Stegostoma tigrinum: one gene and its partners. The protein of the gene in region 2 interacts with the protein of the main gene of each other region in a biochemical or structural test. Links are inferred from orthologs where the notes say so. Each region holds a gene or a part of one and is shown on either strand. Other genes may lie near its edges.

The links. The genes of interacting proteins can lie anywhere in the genome.
Region 1: the proteins of cdc42 (region 2) and pak1 form a complex in vitro, tested with the Homo sapiens proteins (11 studies listed by BioGRID and IntAct, with this or other methods). The link is inferred for Stegostoma tigrinum from reciprocal best matches to the Homo sapiens genes CDC42 and PAK1.
Region 3: the proteins of cdc42 (region 2) and ncf2 form a complex in vitro, tested with the Homo sapiens proteins (2 studies listed by BioGRID and IntAct). The link is inferred for Stegostoma tigrinum from reciprocal best matches to the Homo sapiens genes CDC42 and NCF2.

What each region holds. Positions count from the first base shown.
Region 1 is NC_081359.1:105,736,715-105,743,492, reverse strand, and holds the start of pak1 (serine/threonine-protein kinase PAK 1), read right to left. Parts: upstream 4,024-6,778; 5' UTR 3,816-4,023; exon of another isoform or gene 3,689-3,815; intron 1-3,688. UniProt on the Homo sapiens protein: Protein kinase involved in intracellular signaling pathways downstream of integrins and receptor-type kinases that plays an important role in cytoskeleton dynamics, in cell adhesion, migration, proliferation, apoptosis, mitosis, and in vesicle-mediated transport processes.
Region 2 is NC_081381.1:37,038,029-37,044,806, reverse strand, and holds the start of cdc42 (cell division control protein 42 homolog), read left to right. Parts: upstream 1-3,418; 5' UTR 3,419-3,534; intron 3,535-6,778. UniProt on the Homo sapiens protein: Plasma membrane-associated small GTPase which cycles between an active GTP-bound and an inactive GDP-bound state. In active state binds to a variety of effector proteins to regulate cellular responses. Involved in epithelial cell polarization processes.
Region 3 is NC_081361.1:45,930,297-45,937,074, reverse strand, and holds the start of ncf2 (neutrophil cytosol factor 2), read left to right. Parts: upstream 1-2,577; 5' UTR 2,578-2,959; coding exon 2,960-3,133; intron 3,134-6,778. UniProt on the Homo sapiens protein: Subunit of the phagocyte NADPH oxidase complex that mediates the transfer of electrons from cytosolic NADPH to O2 to produce the superoxide anion (O2(-)).

The DNA of each region.
Region 1 (6,778 bases), on a different chromosome or scaffold from region 2:
TGTTCATCCTGTCACCAATTCTTAGAATTCACTTCCCAGCAATATCAACTTTTTTTTTCTAAAAAATGTCACTCTTAACATCATAAAACATTCCGAGATGGTTCACTTGAGCATAAAACAATATTATTGATATCATAAGGAAATAGGTCAGGCGACTAAATTATGGTCAAAGAATTCTGCTTTTGGTAGTGTCTGAAAGACAAAGTCTGAAGTGGGAAGAGGTTTAGGAAGCCCTAGAGGTCAGGATCCAGGCATCTGATGACGCAGCCACCTATGTAAAGAGGTTAAAAACAGTGATCGTCACAATATCAGAATCGGAAAGGTTCAGAAATCTTGAGCATTCACGGACCGGGAGGAGATTGCAGAGGTAGGGACATGTGAGGAGTCCCTAGAGGGATTTGAAAACAAGGAAGAAATGTTAAAAACAGGATGTAATTTGAATGGAGGTGAGTCAATTTAGGTCAGTGAACGCAAATAAAAATAAAAATGCTGGAGAAACAAGACAGGTCTCACAGAATCTCTGGATGGATGTTGCAGAGAAACAGACAGGGAAAAACCAGAGTTAAGAAAGAAGTGAAGCAAAGTATTACTCAAACTAAAATGTTTAGCTGTTTCTCTCTCCACAGATACTGCCAGACCTGCTGAGTTTCTTTCTGAATTTATTTCAGATTTCCCGCAGCCGTAGTATTTTGCTTCTATTTTAGTGAACTTAAGATTGACAGGGGAATGTGACTTTCTGCAAGTTAACACATGAAAGCAGGTTTTTCAGGGCTCAGAATAGGAGAGACATGGCTTTGAGGTAGTTTCCTTAGCTCCAGACTAGAAGACCCAGGTTCAAGGCACACCTGCTCCTGAGTTATTCAATAACATTGCTGACCAGGTTGATTGGAAAATATCCAAAATGTGGAAGACCAGCTAGCAGTGTGTGGAATAAAAGTGTCTAGAAGTAACAAAGAAGGGATTTTACAGCATGTTGTGAAAAGGATGCTTCCTCATGGGAGAATCTAAATGTAATGGGTCATAGAAATTCTACAGTGTGGAAACACTGTTTAAAGATACAGGGTCACCATTTCATAGCAGGATCATAAACTCCCTTCTGTGTGGAAGCAGACCACTCGGCCTATTGAGTCCACACTGGCTCTCTGAAGAGCATCCCACCCACACCCAGACCCCAGCCCCCTACCGTATCCCCGTGAGCCCACATACCCTTGTACACTATGGGCAATTTAGTAAGGCCAAACACCTAGTCTACACTGTGGGAGGAAACCCATGCAGACAGTAGGAGAATGTCTGTGTGGAGTTTGCACAATCGCCCAAGATTGAAATCGAGCCCGGGTTCCTGGCGCTGTGAACCAGCAGTGCCACCGTGCCACCCATTTAAGTCAGAGCCAAAGAGAAATATTTCTGAGTCACAGGTTTTTTGGAACTCTCTTCATTTAAAAACTGTAGAAGCAGATCATTTGAAACTTTTAAAGACAGACATGGATAAGGTTCTTGCTAAGGACAGGGGTGAGATATTATTGGGGGTAGGAAGGTGGCGTAGTCATTGTTGACTGGCAGAGCAGACATGCAGTGCTGAGTGGTATAATCTTGCTCCTAACCTGTAGGTTTGCATGTAAAGTCATTAAGGGCCTCAGCAGAGGAGGTGAGACAGTGACCACATTGAGCAATATCACAAAGATTAAAATCAGTGGTCCATGCAATGTCTGTACAGTGGAAGCAGACAAAATGGCAACTTTCAAAGTTGAATTGGATAAACACTTCAAGGATAAAATGTGCAAGGCTTCAGGAATTGAACAGGGAAGTGAGACTAGTCAGATAGCCTTTTAAAGAAGTGACTAGCTCCCTTTTGTAGTGTATGACAACAGTGCCAAACTCATCCAGGCCGTGCTCAAATCAAAAGCAGCAAATTATTTAAAAGGGACAAAGTGGAGAGGGAGAAATTATCTGAAGGGTCTTGACCTGAAATGTCAACTTTCCTGCTCCTCTGATGCTGCCTGACCTGCTTCATTCCTCCAGCTCCACACGGTGTTGTCTCCGACTCCAGCATCTGCAGTTCTTGCTATCTCCTAGATTTACACAGGATATCTGGTTGGCATGGACAAGTTGGACCGAAAGGTCAGTTTCCCTACTGTGTATCTCCATGACTCTAAGTGAACCTTGCTGAAATGAATGCGATTTGGCAGGAGGGCATATAAAGAAGCAGCTCCATTATCTGTCACACTAGGAAGGAATCACCAGCCCACCGTCCCCCACTGCATCAATAATGCAAAGTGGCAGACAATTAAGTAACTGCAAAATCTGGACTTGCATATTTGCCATAACAATGCCTCCATCTGAAGCATTCAAGAGCGTAAAACAAGTAACAAAAGGGACATTATTTTGTAGTTTCATTCATCAGGAAAAGAAGAATGGGTAAAAGACAGGAAAAGAGTCTGAACAATGAGACATTTCACGTAGGGCTTTATCCTGAAAATGCTCTTAATACAGTGCACTGTGAAGATGCTCTCCACTAATGACATTCAAAGTCAAAGAGGTCGGAGACACAAATGGATGAGGTATCATAGTATACAGCACAGAAACGTGTCTGGAACCAGAGTATCATTGATAAATAACAGTCACATCAGGAGGAGTTTTACTTTCCAACTACAAAAAGGTCTCAGCAAATCAAAAAACCACAATCAGCACTCTGGAACAGACCTTAATATGGAAGCTAGCAATATAGTTGAACACAAGTATTTAGTCCAAAAATATTACACCAAGAAACTAATTGTAACATCAGCAGAAAAATATAGAAGGATGTGAAAGTCACCACCGAAGAGTGCAGCAGAAGCAGATTGAAATTGTGTATTTCAAAAGGTAATGGGTTAGTATCTGAAGAGGAATAATTTGCAAGGCTATTTTGGGAAAGGGACGCGAGTGAGAACAGGTCGAATAGCCTGCTTCTATGCTGTATCTATTCCAACATGCCACAAACGTAAACAGTATCACTTCAACGGGATTTGGGACAGACAACAAAGCTGTTAGATGAAAAGTATGCAATCAAGGAGATAATGCAAGATCTTTTATCAACCACAGGTTAGGTTGGACAGGGCTAGGGTACTCTCGTCCTAGAGAATGGGCTAGAAATGATACCAAATGAGTGAGTGAATCTTCTTCTACGAAGTAACTGGAGGATCTGTGATTGCACGGCTATGCAGAGGAGGCTGGCTGAGATATGAAAGAGGGAATCAAAATTATGAAAAAGTTTTTAAACTGAGTCAATAAGGAGAAAGTGCTTCCAGTGGTAAGAATGATCACTGAACACGAGACACATTTGACAACGGAAAATTGGGCAAAAAGAAAACGATGAAAGCATTTATTACCTAAAATTAGAACGAAAACAGAAAAATAAATTCCCGAATGACTTAGCTAAAAGGGCCGCGTGGAAACAGCAGGGAAATCAGGACAAATTGGACAACTCCGCCCAAGGGCTAGTACGGGAGAACTGGGCGGAATGGCAAGGGTTTTCAGAAGCACACGACATTCTACTCGCGGCCCGCGCGCCGTTTCCATAGTGATGGTCGCTAAGAAACGGGTAAGGGGGAAAAGCAGTGGAGGAGGCCGCGCGCGGTTGCCCCGGTGACGGTTGCCAGGAGCCCGCCGTTACCCTGGCGACGGCTCCCTGGGAGCGCGCGGTTGTCCCGGAGACGGTCGCCAGCAGGCGCGAGGCGGGGCCGGTTCGCCAACGTCCCTTGGTTGGACGGTTCGAATCTGCCGTTCGAAGTCAGTTAGGGTGAAGGAGGAGGAGGGGAGCCGAAAAACACGTTCCTCACCTCCCGCCGCCCGCTGACGAGAAGCTGGGTAAGTGGCCTCGTTCGCTTCCAAATGTAGTCTCTCGCGATGTCGCTGTGATCCCGGCGGCGCTGCTGGTTTGTTCTTACGCTCTGTTTCTATCCTTCACTCCCCGCTGCCCGGTGCTGGATGCCGCTCCTCTCGTTGTCAGGCCGGCCGGCTCAACCTAACCTGCCTAGGTCCGCCCCACGTGTTCCTACTTCCTATTGGTCCCCACGCCCATAACACCGGCTTCAGTTGGCTGTAACCCACGTCAATCAAAGACCATCCCCGCCCCCTCGTCACGCAGGTTTGATTGACGAGTGGACCGGAAGTGGCTTCGCTTCATGATCAGCGCATTACATCATTGCAGTTTCTTAAAGGGCCAGGGCAGTGGGTGTGTTTTGAAACTATTCCTCTCTGCAAGAATTTAGGCTAATAGCAGAATGGTGCAGGTGCTGACATTCGCAACCATCTGTAGGAAAATTCACCAAAGATCCTGCAACAGCACTTTCAAAACCCACAAACATACCAAAGAACTGCAGATATTGGAAAGCAGAAACAAAGACAAAAACTCAACAAATCTGGCAACAACTGTGGAGAGAAGCAGAGTTTTCAGGTCCCCTGACTCTTCTTCAGAACATTTCAGTTCCCCTGACTCTTCTTCAGAACATTTCAGTTTTGTTCCTGAAATAATTGCACAGAGGCCAGTGTCCTATCACCAAGTCGTCCCGAATTTACCTGTATCAGAGATAACTGCAGATGCTGGAGAATCCGAGATATCGGGGGGCTGATTCTGAGCTGGCTGGCCACAGCCGACCGTGCACAGGTAAATTCGGGATAACAAAGTGTGGAGCTGGATGAACACAGCAGGCCAAGCAGCATCTTAGGAACACATGTTCATCCAGCTCCACACTTTGTTATCCCAAATTTACCTGTGCACGGTCGGCTGTGGCCAGCCAGCTCAGAATCAGCCCCCCTGACCTGAGGAGATTCTGAATCCCCCGTTAAAATTGGTCAGCTAGTGGCTCCTGATTGGCCCAGTTTAAGAACCACAGTCAAGGTACTCATAGTCAACAAGGTCCATCTGGTCCAATCACTAGAGTTCCCTCAAAACTCACAACCAGTTCCATTGTGAAGGACGAGAGCAGCAGATACATGGTCACACCACCACCTACCAGGTCCCCTCTAAGCCACTTGCCATCCTGATTCAGAAACATATTGCTGTTTCTTCAGTATCACTGAGTCAAAATTCTGGGATTCTCTCCCTAACAGTATTATGGGTCAACCTACGAAAATGAAGTGCAGTGGTTCAAGCAGACAGCTCATCACCACCCTGTGATGGGAAACTGGGGATGCACAATAAATGCTGGCCCAGCACAAGTAAATAAAAAAGAAAATCTGATGTGAACAGTTTGTAATGGAATTATTCGCTAGGTCTAGGAACAGAGTTGACATTTGATCAATAACCCTGCATTATCATGGTGGAAGATTTGCAGGACAGCAGTCTTGCCATGTAGACAAAATCAGAAGTCACATGACACCAGGCTATAGTCCAACAGGTTTATTTGAAATCACAAGTTTTTGGATGGCTGCTCCTTCATCTGACTGAGATTCATAGAATCCCTACAGTGTGGAAACAGGCCATTCAGCCCAACAAGTCCACACTGACTCTCCAAAGAGCATCCCACCCAGACTCACCCTCATAACCTATTCCTGTATTTCCTATGGCTAATCCATTTAAATTACACATCTCTGAACACTATGGGCAATTTAGTAAGGCCAATCCACGTAACCTGCACATCTTGGGGAGGGAACCAGTGCACCTGGAGGAAATTGACACAGACACAGGGAGAATGTACAAACTCCACACAGACAGTCGCCCAAGGCTGGAATTGAACCCAGGTCCATGGTGCTGTGAGGCAGCAGTGCTAACCACTTAGCCATCGTATCGCCCACCCCAATCCAACACCAGCACATCCACATCATTGCCAAGTAGACAAAGCAATGGTTGGCAGGACTACACCATCGCCATAGTGACAGCTGCCACTAGTTGTGGGTCCAGGCAACTTTGCCAGTAGTTAATAAAGTGTGAAGCGGGATGAACACAGCAGGCCAAGCAGCATCTCAGCACAAAAGCTGACGTTTCGGGCCTAGACCCTTCATCAGAGAGGGGGATGGGGTGAGGGTTCTGGAATAAATAGGGAGAGAGGGGGAGGCGGACCGAAGATGGAGAGAAAAGAAGATAGGTGGAGAGGAGAGTGTAGGTGGGGAGGTAGGGAGGGGATAGGTCAGTCCAGGGAAGACAGACAGGTCAAGGAGGTGGGATGAGGTTAGTAGGTAGGAAATGGAGGTGCGGCTTGAGGTGGGAGGAAGGGATGGGTGAGAGGAAGAACAGGTTAGGGAGGCAGAGACAGGCTGGGCTGGTTTTGTGATGCAGTGGGGGGAGGGGATGAGCTGGGCTGGTTTTGGGATGCGGTGGGTGAAGTCCACATTGATACCATTGGGCTGCAGGGTTCCCAAGCGGAATATGAGTTGCTACCCCCTTTGTCTGTAGGAAGTGGGAGGAATCGAATGAGAAGTTGTTGAGGGTGAGGACGAGTTTGGCTAGGCGGATGAGGGTGTCAGTGGAGGGGGGCTGGTCGGGCCTGCGGGACAGGAAGAAGTGGAGGGCCTTGAGGCTATCTGCATGCGGAATACAGGTGTATAGGGACTGGACGTCCATGGTGAAAATGAGGTGTTGGGGGCCAGGGAATTGGAAGTTCTGGAGGAGGTGGAGGGCGTGGGTGGTGTCACGGACGTAGGTAGGGAGTTTCTGGGCCAAAGGGGAGAAAATGGAGTCCAGATAGGTGGAGAATAGTTCGGTGGGGCAGGAACAGGCTGAGACAAAGAGTCGACCAGGGCAGGCAGGTTTGTGGATTTTGGGAAGGAGATAGAAACGGGCCGTGCGGGGTTGGGGAACAAT
Region 2 (6,778 bases):
GTTTGCAGAAGTACAAAGTCAGCAAGGATTCAGGGTGAGTTAGTTGACTAATTGAGTGCAATTCTTGCTAGAAAACTTAAGACTGTTGTTGCACAGTGAAATATTTGACTTGACTTACTGACAAAGCAGTTGTTGCTGCCTTTCTCAGATGAGGACAAGGTTTTCGAAAGGAGTTGAAAGTGCCTAATAGTGATCAAAACAACTCAAGAAGAATGTCCTCAATTCACAGCTAAACAGTGTCTAACACAAGGCTATTGATATTTGCAAATGGGCTGATCTGTACATGGCCAGTTCTTGCACAAAAAGGCAGAAACCAAAATGTAGACTTTGAAATAAGAATAAAAATCAGGTTAAGCAGCATTTGTGCAAAGAGACACATTTCAAATCCTTGTCCTTTTGCCAGTATGTCTTGTGTTTTTGAAAAAAATGGACATTTCTGTCCGAGTTTCTGTTCTGAAAATTAGAAGGTGGTTACCCACAACCCATAACTATTCCAGTTCAGATTGGCAGATGATGTGGGGACACATGAGGATCAAGGTGTGGGTCATATCCAAGCAAAAACAAGACAGAATGAGACAAAGATAATAAAATGTGAGGCTGGATGAACACAGCAGGCCAAGCAGCATCTCAGGAGCACAAAAGCTGACGTTTCGGGCCTAGACCCTTCATCAGAGGGTAAATGAGGGGGGAGGATGAAGGGTCTAGGCCCGAAACGTCAGCTTTTGTGCTCCTGAGATGCTGCTTGGCCTGCTGTGTTCATCCAGCCTCACATTTTATTATCTTGGAATCTCCAGCATCTGCAGTTCCCATTATCTCAGAATGAGACAAAGTTGGGCGAGGGCAAAAGGGAAAGAAATACCTCATTGGTTTTCTTTCATTGACTCTTTGATAAAGTTTACAAGACATGGAAGCTGAGGCACTGCTATCAAGTTGACATCGTTCAGGCCTTCAGAGAAGGAAATCAGTAGGTTTTACATGATAAGGCCTAGAGAAGATCGGCAAGGCTACGTGTAGAACAGCAGGAGATGGACAAGATACTAAATGAGTATTTCACATTAGTGTTTACTCTGGAATAGGACATGGAAGCTAGAGAACACGGGGAAATAAATAGTGAAATCTTGTAAAGTGTCCATATTACGGGGGGGGGGGGGGAGCTGCTGGATGTCTTAAAATGCATAAAGGTGGATAAAATCCCGGGGCCTGGTCAGGTGTACGCTCGAACTCAGTGGGAAGCTAGGGAAGTGACTGCTGGGCCCCGTGTGGAGAAATTTATATCATTAATGACCACAGGAGAGGTTCCAGAAGACTATAGGTTTGCTAACGTAGTGCTATTATTTAAAAAAGGTGGTAAGGAAAAGCCAAGGAACTGTAGTTCAGTAAGCTTGATATCACTATTAAACCCGACAATGCGGTGGGGGGGGGGGGGGGGGGGGGGGAGGGGGTGCATGGTGGTAGTACGGTAAATTGACCTGTACATCGCTGAGGCCAGATGCTGACTCTCTGACACCTCCTCCTCATCACCTCAATCATGACCTCACCTCTGATCACCTAGCCAGCACCTCTCAAACCATCAACAACCTCATCACTATGGGAGATCTCCAGTCCACAGCCTCCAACCTTCACCAACACCTTTCAACTTGCTCTTAAATTCATCTGGACCATTTCTGACACCTCTTTCCCCTTCCTGGACCACTCCATCTCCATCTCCGAAAACCAACTCACCAGTGACATCCATTTCAAACCTACTGACTCCCATAGCTAACTCAACTACATCTCCCCACATCCACCCTCCCGCAAAAATGCTATCCCATACTCTCAATTTCTCCTCCTCCACCATATCTGCTCCCAGGATGAGATATTTTTCTCCAGAACCTCCCAGATATCCTCCTACTTCAGGGGCGGGCAGTGTGGCTAAACGAAGAGAACTTGGGAGGCATATTCATAGTTCCTTGAAAGTGGAGTTGAAGGTAGACAGGACAGTGAAGAAGGTGCTTGGTGTGTTTGCCATTATTGATCAATGTATTGAATATAGGAGTTGAGAGGTCATGCTGTGGCTGTATAAGACATTGATAGGCCACTTTTGGAATACTGCATTCAATTCTGGCCATCCTGCTATAGGAAAGAGGTTATGAAACTTGAAAGGGTTCAGAAAAGATTTATGAGGATATTGCAAGGGTTGGAGAGTTTGAGCTACAAGGACAGACTGAATAGGATGGGGCTACTTTTCTTGGAGTGTCAGAGGCTGAGTTGTGATTTTAAAGAAGTTTATTAAATCATGAGGGGCATAGATAGGGTGAACAGCCAAGGCCTTTCTCCAAGGCAGGGGAATCCAAAATTAGAAGGCATAGGTTTAAAGTGAGAGGGGAATGATGTAAAAGGAGCAACATTTTCACAGAGTGTTGTGCATGGATCAAATGAGCTGCCAGAGGAAGTGGGGGAGGCTGGTACAATCACAACATTTAAAAGGCATCTAGATGGGTATATGAATACGAATGGTTTCGAGGGATATAGGCCAAATACTGTCAAATGGGACTGGATTAATTTGAAATATCTGGTTGGCATGGATGAGTTGGACCGAAGGGTTTTTTCCATGCTGTGAATCTCTATGTGTCTACATGACTGCAGTCCCAGGGAAAAAGCAATGGTTGACTATTAACTGCACTCTGAAGTGCAAATTGCAGCTGCTCCAAATCGCAGCCTGTAGTGGTTCAAAGAGGCTACCATTCTCCTTTTCAGGGCAACATGGAATGGGCAATTAGTGCTGTCTTTACCAGTGATACTTATGTCCTGAAGGTATATTAATGGAGAAAGAGTCCACCATGTTTTGAAGCAAAAGCAGTTATCACTTTGAGCAGATATGGACTATGCCTATGGGAATAGGTGCTTCACTTTCTCTAACTAACAGAATCAAGGCCTGGTTGGTCTTGGTCAGTGGCTGTAACGCTTAATCCCAACAAGAGGCAACATTTTCAGGACAGGGTGGGGGCACCTAATCTACTCCTCTGATCCCTAATGCAATCTTCAGATCCATTTTTCTGATCTCATATCCACACTCCTGATCCCCGAGCCATTCCTCTGATCCCTGGGCCTGTCCTTTGATCTCTGATGCAATCTTCAGATCCATTTTCCTGATCCCAGATCCACTGTTCTGATCCCTGAACCAGTCCTCTGATCTCTGATGCAATCTTCAGATCCATTTTCCTGATCCCAGATCTCTCCTGATCCCTGAGCCAGTCCTCTGATCTCTGATGCAATCTTCAGATCCATTTTCCTGATCCCAGATCCACTCTCCTGATCCCTGAGACAGTCCTCTGATCTTTGATGCAATCTTCAGATCCCCTCTCCTGACCCCTAATTCACTCTCTTTACCCCTTGGAGAGAGCAGAGCCTGCGCAGACTGAGTGTGGTGACGTAAGACGTCTGGCTCAGCGGTGACGCCACCGCGACGTGCCCCTGCTGCAGTTTAAAGCAGATCCGGAGACCCCGTGCATTTGCCAACGCCCGGTGGAGACGGTCGGCTTTCGGGGGAAGGGGGTGAGTGAGGAATGGAGGGGCGGAGGGAGTGATAGACAGAGTGATGGAGGCTGTGAAAAGTGAAGGTGGGGAGGCGAATGGGAGGTGGCCGTGTGTTCTCTCAGTCCCTAGCCCGTGCCGCTATGTCAGGCCGTGAGCGGCTCGGCTCGGCTCGGCCCGGCCCTGCCGGGGCCTTGCTTCCTGCGCCGGGCTCTGGGGTTAGCTACCGTGGTGGGGCGGGGCGGTGCGTGCGGGAGCCGGGTCGGTGGAGTGGAGGGGCGTGGGGATGAAAAGCCTGGCCTGTTCGAAATGCGATCGATCCGGTACCCGGGTCTTTAGCCCCCCCGGTTTCCCCCAAGTGTGGGACCCGGTGTCGGGGCAGCGCCCTCCCGGCTCGAGCTGTTTCCCCTCTCCCGGGCGAGGCTTTTGGAACCTTGGGGTGGGGCTGTGTGACCCCGGCCAGGAGTTACCTGTCAGCTCGGTGCGGGGATGGTGGGGCGGCGAGGAGGGCCAAGCGATGTTTGCTGCTGCTGCATTTACTCAGGTCTCGCCGAATGCCGCAGTTTGGAGGCGGTTTCCTTCTGGAAATTCCAGCTACGATTTGACCTTAAACAGCATCCCTGCCTTTTTCGGGAGGGTGGGGGGAGAGAGTGATTTACTGAAAATTAAAACTATCGATCAGAAATGGGTTTCCTGCTTTTGGTATTGCTCAGAAATACAAAGCATTTAAAGAGGAAGTCAAGAGGGTGTGATATCTCAATATTGCCCGCTTCCTTTTGAATAAGGTTTATTTTGCAGGTTGGGGAGAAATCAAAATGAGACAAGCCTGAAGAATTAATCAGTGCACTTTTGTCATTTGGATGTCACTTAATGTTCAAATATTTACAGGTTTTTTCCATGTTTTCAGTTGTTGTGATGCTCTTGCAATGAGTTTTTGGTCCAGGTAGTACATTATACAGAAAATGTTCTGTCAACTGTTTAGGGATTTTGCTGCAGTGAAGCTGCACTGCTACTGGAAACAATAGGGCTGTCTGAAAAGCTAGACTCTATTTTCCATGGAATCATAGATCCTGTGCACTACTTACAGCCTGCAGTAGGGCCTTTCTGCTCAAAATGGTTGCTGCCCCTCTGTCACAGATCTTAAAAAGAAGTGATAATGGGAACTGCAGATGCTGGAGAGTCCACGATAACTGTGGACCTGGATGAATGCAGCAGGCCAAGCAGCATCTCAGGAGCACAAAAGCTGATGTTTTGGGCCTAAACCCCTCTGATGAAGGGTCTAAGTCCAAAACATCAGCTTTTGTGCTCCTGAGATGCTGCTTGGCCTGCTGTGTTCATCCAGGTCCACACTTTGTTATCTTAAAAAGAAGTGATATTCCTTCAGTTGCTGATATCCCCCAGTGTTATAGTTGTAATATGGGGATTGTAGGTTTCCTTCTCCAGTGACTTGTTTCTGAATCACCAGTCATAGATTGTGAAACTGATAAGCTGAGGACAGTTGTACTTTATCATTGCTTTACTATGCCACCAAATCACTCAGCAGTATTAGTAAGACATTGAATTGTTCTTGTCTTTGCTGCATTCTTCTGAGGAAGAGTTTCCTGGGCTGAGAATTCTATTTATAGATCTGATCCAGTTTGAAATCATTTTGATATGTGCATTTGGGATGGCATATGTTATTTTGTTTGGTACAGACTGTTTTCAGTAACAGGAAGTCTGCAACAGTGCTTCAGCTAATCTGTTTTAATTGTTACTGAATCCACAGTCTCTGAAAATGGGTTAGGTTTAGTTTTTTTTTGGTGTCTTAGTTGAATTAATGTTCACTAGCATTGTTGTAACCAGAGTTCAAACTGGAAGCCAGAGCTAATCCTGAAATGGAAACAGAATGCTGCAAATAATTGAGCAGTAACAAAATGAAGAGAAACAGTTTTTGAGTATCTGACTTTCATATGAACAAATCGTTAATCTGAATCATTAACACTCCCTGTCCACGGTTGCTGTCTGACTTGTGTATTTCAGTTTTTAATCCATCCAGCATCTGTATGCTTGTACAGTATTTGAATTTCCTGAGTGTCTGCCCTTAGCTGGGAAGGGGGAGTTAGACCTTGCAAGGCTAAGCCAGCAAGAATATAGGCATATAAGAATCTGCTAATTCTGTATCAACTTTTTAAAATGTTAGGTCAACATTGGTCAATGGTCATCTGACTATTTGCTTTTCAATGTGGAAACTCTTTTATAAATCAGCCTAAGATCTGTGAGAGTAATTGAGAACTGTCTGTTGATTTAATATTAAAGAAGGTTCTCTTCCCCAAGGGAGAATTATGGAATTTTGAATGTGCTGCACCATTGAGTTCATTGTTTTGCATTGCTTCAGTTAAGCTGTCTGATAGGACAGTTCCCCTGTTGTTTGTTTTATTTTGCTGTAATCTTGCAAATTTAAGTCCTTCAAATATTTCAGTTCACTTGTAAATTTCAAAAATACTAAGTTGTATTTGTAAGTACATCTTGGGTAAGACTTCAACCTGTATCTGCTTGTTCAAATATTTCAAGAGTTGTCTTGCATCAAATTTACATCATGATCAAGTTTTCTTCCATAATTTAAAGGAACAAATTCACTATTTTATCATGGAGATACTTGCATAATCGGTAAAGTTGGTACAGTGGTGCCATGTCTTGATCTGCTTTAGTGACTATGAAAGCAAAAACGAAATGTCTTGCCAGTGTCTTAAGCCCAGTTTCCTGTGAGGAGGTTTTACTCTAGCTGTGGTTCAGATCTTTGCTATATCTGATTCTTGTTTCACTGTACCTTTAAAACTGTCATTGTTTTCAGGTAATAGTGCATTTTTACCTACTTTCAAGTTTTTGTTGCAATCCAATGCATTTATTTCCATTGGTTGGACTGTCTTTTTGCTTTATTAGAAATTAGTAGTGCAGCATTGCAGACAAATAATTTGGTTATGTTCAAGTTTCAAATTCTATCCTGGGAACTGTTCCCTGCAAACAAGGCAGCATTGAGACAAATGTTTGAAAATTACCACAGTAGGTTGCTGCAGGGAAGTCTCATAGTTTCTGTACTACTACGTGGCTGGGATTCTCTTTTTTTAAAAAAAAATCTGAGTAACTGCTACAGACTTGTTCAGGGCTGGTGGAATTTGCTGGTTTCAACTTGAATATAGCCTCCAGTTCTAAAATTGAGTTCTTCTATCTATTTCCTGTTGGAGCAATGAGTAGAAAGGCATGCAGTCTTGATTCTCTGCATCACTGA
Region 3 (6,778 bases), on a different chromosome or scaffold from region 2:
TGTCACAGACAGGAGAGATCAGCAGCATAGTCTACAGTGGGACAGACAGGAGAGATCAGCACCATAGTCTACAGTGGGACAGACAGGAGAGATCAGCAGCATAGTCTACAGTGGGACAGACAGGAGAGATCAGCACTATAGTCGACAGTGTCACAGAGAGGAGAGATCAGCACCATAGTCTACAGTGTCACAGAGAGAGGAGATCAGCACCATAGTCTACAGTGGGACAGGCAGGAGAGATCAGCACCATAGTCTACAGTGGGACAGACAGGAGAGATCAGCACCATAGTCTACAGTGGGACAGACAGGAGAGATCAGCACTATAGTCGACAGTGTCACAGAGAGGAGAGATCAGCACCACAGTCTACAGTGGGACAGGCAGGAGAGATCAGCTCCTTAGTCTACAGTGTCACAGAGAGGAGAGATCAGCACCATATTCTACAGTGGGACAGACAGGAGAGATCAGCACCATCGTCTACAGTGTCACAGAGAGGAGAGATCAGCACCATCGTCTACAGTGGGACAGGCAGGAGAGATCAGCTCCTTAGTCTACAGTGGGACAGACAGGAGAGATCAGCACCATCGTCTACAGTGTGAGAGACAGGACAGATCAACACCATAGTCTACAGTGGGACAGACAGGAGAGATCAGCACCTTAGTCTACAGTGTCACACAGAACAGAGATCAGCACCATAGTCTACAGTGGGACAGAGAGGAGACACCAGCACTATAGTCTACAGTGTCACAGAGAGGAGAGGTCAGCACCTCAGTCTACAGTGGGACAGACAGGAGAGATCAGCACCATAGTCTAGTGTCACAGAGAGGAGAGATCAGCACCATAGTCTACAGTGGGACAGACAGGAGAGATCAGCTCCTTAGTCTACAGTGTCACAGAGAGGAGAGATCAGCACCATAGTCTACAGTGGGACAGACAGGAGAGATCAGCACCATAGTCTACAGTGTCACAGACAGGAGAGATCAGCACCATAGTCTACAGTGTCACAGACAGGAGAGATCAGCACCATAGTCTACAGTGGGACAGGCAGGAGAGATCAGCTCCTTAGTCTACAGTGTCACAGAGAGGAGAGATCAGCACCATATTCTACAGTGGGACAGACAGGAGAGATCAGCACCATAGTCTACAGTGTCACAGAGAGGAGAGATCAGCACCATAGTCTACAGTGTCACGGATAGGTGAGATCAGCACCCTAGTCTACAGTGTCACAGATAGGAGAGATCAGGACCATAGTCTACAGTGTCACGGATAGGTGAGATCAGCACCATAGTCTACAGTGGGACAGACAGGAGAGATCAGCACCTTAGTCTACAGTGTCACAGAGAGCAGAGATCACCACCATAGTCTACAGTGTGAGAGACAGGAGAGATCAGCACCATAGTCTACAGTGTCACAGAGAGGAGAGATCAGCATCATAGTCTACAGTGTGAGAGACAGGAGAGATCGGCACCATAGCCTACAGTGTACAAACTTTGGAAAAAGGAATACAGGCATGGACAATTGTCTAAATGGTGAGAAAATTTGTAAAGCAGAAGTACAAAGTGATCTGGGAGTGTTGGTCCAGGATTCTCTAAAGGTTAACTTGCAGGTAGGGTCCGTGATTAAGAAAGCGAATGTAATGTTGTCGGTTATCTCAAGAGGGCTGGAATATAAAAGCAGTGACGTGTTTCTGAGACTTTATAAAGCTCTAGTTGGACCCTATTTAGAATGCTGTGTCCAATTTTGGCCCCCACACCTCAGGAAGGACAAACTGGAGCTGGAGCATGTCCAGTGGAGATTTACATGGATGATCCGTGGAATGGTTGGCCTAACATACGATGAACGGCTGAGGATCCCTGGGATTGTATTCATTAGAGTTTAGAAGGTTGAGGGGAGATCTAATAGAAACTTACAAGATAATGTATGGTTTAGAAGGGGTAGACGCTAAGACGTTGTTTCTATTAGGAGGGGAGACTAGGACCCACGGGCACAGCCTTAGAATTAGAGGCGGTAAATTTAAAACAGAAATGAGGAGACATTTCTTCAGCCAGAGTGTGGTGGGCCTGTGGAATTCATTGCCACGGAGTGCAGTGGAGGCCGGGACGTTGGATGCCTTCAAGGCAGAGATCGATAAACTCTTGATCTCACAAGGAATCAAGGGCTACGGGGAGAGTGCAGGGAAGTGGAGTTGAAACGCCCATCAGCCATGATTTAAATGGCGGAGTGGACTCGATGGGCCGAATGGCCTTAATTCCACTCCTACGTCTTATGGTCTTAAATCTACATCGGGGGGTGCAAAGGGAATCTATGACAATGCTACTCACCAAATCTTAGCGCTTTTTTGCTTTTCTTTGTGATTGGAAATGATGTCCCTTCAGTACTTTGTTAGCTGCGCATTTGGTCTGTCTGTAATGGCCTCCCTGTTTGTTGACGATGTTACTGTTGTCAGGGAAATATAGAGGCGGTGTCTGAAGCGTCAGTCTGACAGCTGCTGGAACACAAACTGCCCAGAGTTAAATTTTTTAGCCAGCCGTTTCCAGCATCGAAAATACTTGATTTAGAAGTTTGCAACAGGAAACTAAAATACAAAACATATAAAAATATTTGTGGAAGGTGCGGGAGGATTGGTAAATCAATTAATTTGCCTTTAGACTGTTATAATCTCTCTTATGTTCATGGTAAGGTTTGGATTTGTCAGACCGTTCACATCTCCACAGGACTTGCAGCCACTATATCAAAAGGCAATGTCAGTGAGTTAACTTCCTATGAAACTGGTCTAGTCACAGCTAAAGTTGGGCTCATGGTCACATTTCCTGTAGTATTTCTATAGCGTATTCAGTCAAGCGGAGGAAGCAGACGGTAAAAGAAGCAGTGCGTTGAAATTAGTTGCTGGTTTAGCCAGTGCATACAAACCACGCTATTTCACGCGCTGCAGCTTGTATACATTAAACGGCCGGGCTCAGTATGTCTCTAACAGACACCATCAAATTATGGGATGAAGGCATTACTGCAGCAGACCGCCAGGAGTGGCTAACCGCACTCAACCTGTTCACCACTATACTCGAGCCCAGCTCCAAAATCTGTTTCAACATCGGCTGCCTGCATCTCCTCCGCAGAGAATGGAGCCAGGCTGAGAAGGTAAGTTGCTGTCACAGTTCCACATTTTGAAGGTGTATTCGGAATTACTTGAAATGCTTCTGTTTTTATTCCAAGACATATCAAAATAACAAGAGGGTTACAATTCACTGATTAACATTGTAAACGCTGAGCAAAATATAACAAGTAGACATTTCATTTGAGAAGATTAAACCCACAAGAATAGTAGGAAACGTAGTTAGTTCGTGTTTTACAGGGAAGTGAAGCAGTTTGTTTATTGCTTTATGGAAACCAAAATGTACCGAAAAAGTGGAAATGAAACTGCTCATGACATATAAATCAATTTCACAATTTACTGGATATTAATCCAACAATTGTGTTACATTGGTGCAATTGTGAGTTCAGTTTTAATATAAATTAAAGAAAAGCAAAGATTTACAACAAACCCCATTGAAAATTACAAAGGGCAAAGGAATCAAAGGCATGTATCATTTTTCCTTCACGTGTCAGGCAGTGATCATCAACAAGAAAAATCTTCAGTACCTTCTCCTAATTCTCTACAATAATAACGCTGTGACTACAGAAAACTATTAGCTGCAATTCAACTCTTAACTTCACTCCAGCATTGTCACTGAATCAATCTCCTGCCATTTCCTACCAGGAGCATGATCAACCAAGCTATTTGTTCCTCATTTCCCTCAGAATCCTTTGATATATTTCATCAGGTCTCAGAATATTTAGATAACCAAACTTCTTTAATAGTTTCCTTTTATTTATGATGTTATTCAGCTCATGTTAACCCTATTCAGGATTTCTCTGCATTCCATGTTGTTAAACACTGAAATGAAACACTTGTTAACTATTCCTGCTAATTTCTACTTATCCTTCACTACCTCTGTATCCCGTCCCCTCAGAATCAACCTCACTTTTAAAAATTTACTCTTTATTACTGACACTCGCACACCACCTTACTGTTTGTCACGATGATATAAGAGTACGAAATATTAATCTGTAAATCTTATCAATGAATTTAAAAGCCATGGACTTTTGTCTTTGAGTGAACAGTTAATAATAAGTTTGGGATACCTTAAAATGGTTTTCAATGTCACCTGACCTGAAGGTAGCCAAGCTGCACTGGGATTTACAAAAGAATGTTTAAGAAACTTGGCTGACCATATTCCCGAAAATGTTATCTAAGGATAATTACCTGAACATCAAAATTCAGCATCTTCAATATGTAGCTCGCAATGAGATCTTCAAATGCCTTGGCAATGATTGAAATTGCAGAGATAATGGGGACTGCAGATGCTGGAGAATCCGAGATAACAAAAGCTGATGTTTCGGGCCTAGATCCTCTCTGATGAAGGGTCTAGGCCCGAAACGTCAGCTTTTGTGCTCCTGAGATGCTGCTTGGCCTGCTGTGTTCATTGAAATTGCAGATATTATTGGAACAACGAATTAAACCAAAACTTACTATGTAAAGAGGAGGATTGAACCACTGTTCCCCAAACCCCATCACCTGAACCTACAACAAGGGGAAACCGCAAACCTCTTTGAGAATTGATTAATCGTTATTGTGACCTAACAGCCAATGTTTACACATCGAAACATCACTTCTGTGTGGGGCCATGATGATTCGTTTGTGCTTGTTGCTAAAGAGGGCAGTAACATCCAGTCACATCAAAAGATGAAGAGCTTCCCTTTCACTGGACGTGGTGTGCCCAATTCTGTAAGATGATCAGATCTGATGAAAATACTGAATGTGCATACTTGCTGTACACAAATCCAGGACAACAGCAGAACCAGTTCAGTTGTAACCACCAGAACTTTAAAATCAACATCAGAAAATATAATCCTTCACCTGAGAACTGTAATCATTTCTCAATTCCAACCTCCCTCATCCTGTCCTTGTTCTGATTGCTCGCACATTTATGTATGTGTGTGTGTGTGTGTGAACGTGCATGCATGTGTGTGTGTGTGTGTGCATGTGTGTGTTTGTTTGTGTGTATGTTGGTGTGAGTTTGTGTGTTTCTGACATGGAATTCCAAGTTAGGTTATACCTTTTAAGTAATATTTATACTTCGTACTCAGTGAGTTTACAATAAAAAAGCCACTTCATTTTAACTAACTTAAAAGGATTTTCTGTCTTGTTTTTCATAGCTTTAATGCATAACCAAGCACATACTGAATTAGGGAAAAATACATTTGTTTAAAATTTAAAACATTGCTAAACCAAGAGCAAGAGGAAATGAGAAGAATTTGCCCACCCCTTTAGACTCGGTTGCAAGATGTTTAAAAATATTTTTTGAGATACACTCCTTACTTTCGTTTTATTCCACTCTCTCATGGGATGTGCGTGTTGCTGGCTGGCCAGTATTTATTGCCCTTCAGAAGGTGGTAGGGAGCTGCCTTCTTGAACCACTGCAGTCCATGTGCTGTAGCCTGACCCACAATGCCTTTTCAGAGGAAATTCCAGGATTTTGACCCAGGAACAGTGATGTAATTCCATGTCAGGATGACGAGTGGCTAGCAGGGGAATTTGCAGATGGTGGTGCTCTCGTGCATCTGTTGCCATTGTCATTCTAGATGGTACTGATCATGGGTTTGGAAGTTGCTACCTCAAGATCTTTGGTGAATTCCTGCAGTGTATCTTCTCGACAGTATACACTGCTGCTACTGAGAATCGATGGTAGAGGGAATGGATGTTCGTGGATGTGGTGCTAATCAATTGGGCTGCTTTGTCCTGGATGGTCAAGCTCCTTATTAATCTTGAAGGTTTTTTTTCTGTTTTATTCGAGTGTTTCCTAAATTTGACAAAAATTGTAAGCTCCATCAGACCTTCTTCAATTTTAGTTTGTTTTTAATCTCTTAATTTAGCATGATATGTATTTATTCTGCAACTATTTCTACAAGTAATCATAAAATAATCAGATAAAGGCAGAGGCTGGGAGCTGTGTAGCATTGCAATCTGACTGAGTGTCTGAGCCCAGCAGGAGGGGCAATTATCATTTCTCAAAGTGAAATTACAGATCAAGCAATCACAGGAGGAGGGTATTCTGGTGACTCTTATTTTTATTTAATCGAGAATAAAGTAAGAGTAGATCAGTTAAGTAGTATAAAAAAATTAAGCCAACTAATGTTTTGCTATTTAATTACTATCTGGATTCAATTCATTGTTCAGGTTCAGTGGATGAAGTTAAGTCCTGAAGAAGGGTAATTACCCGAAACATTGACAGCTCCTTTCCTCCAGATGCTGCCTGGCTTGGTGTGTTCTTCCAGCCTCCCATTTATCTACCTTTGGATTCCAGCATCTGCAGTTTTTTTTTGGTCTCTAATTAAGGCAATAATTATTTATTAAATAAAAGCAGACAGGGCACCTACAGCAGATGGGAACTACTAGGAGTTTCTTGTGTGCAGTAAGTATGGTCAGATCCAGCACTGAAATGAATGAATGCATGAACGAATTAATGAATGAATAATTTTGTTGTCACATGTATTTGGGAAAAACAGTGAAAAGTGTTTTCTGGCCACAATCTGGTGCCATTTCGTATTACAGAATTAATAAAAAGAAATTGCTTAAATAGAGGAAGGGACGCTCAATCCGAAATGTTAACTCCAATTCCTGTCCACAGATGCTGCCGGATCTGCTGAATCTTTCCAGCAATTTGCTTTTGTTTCTGATTTACG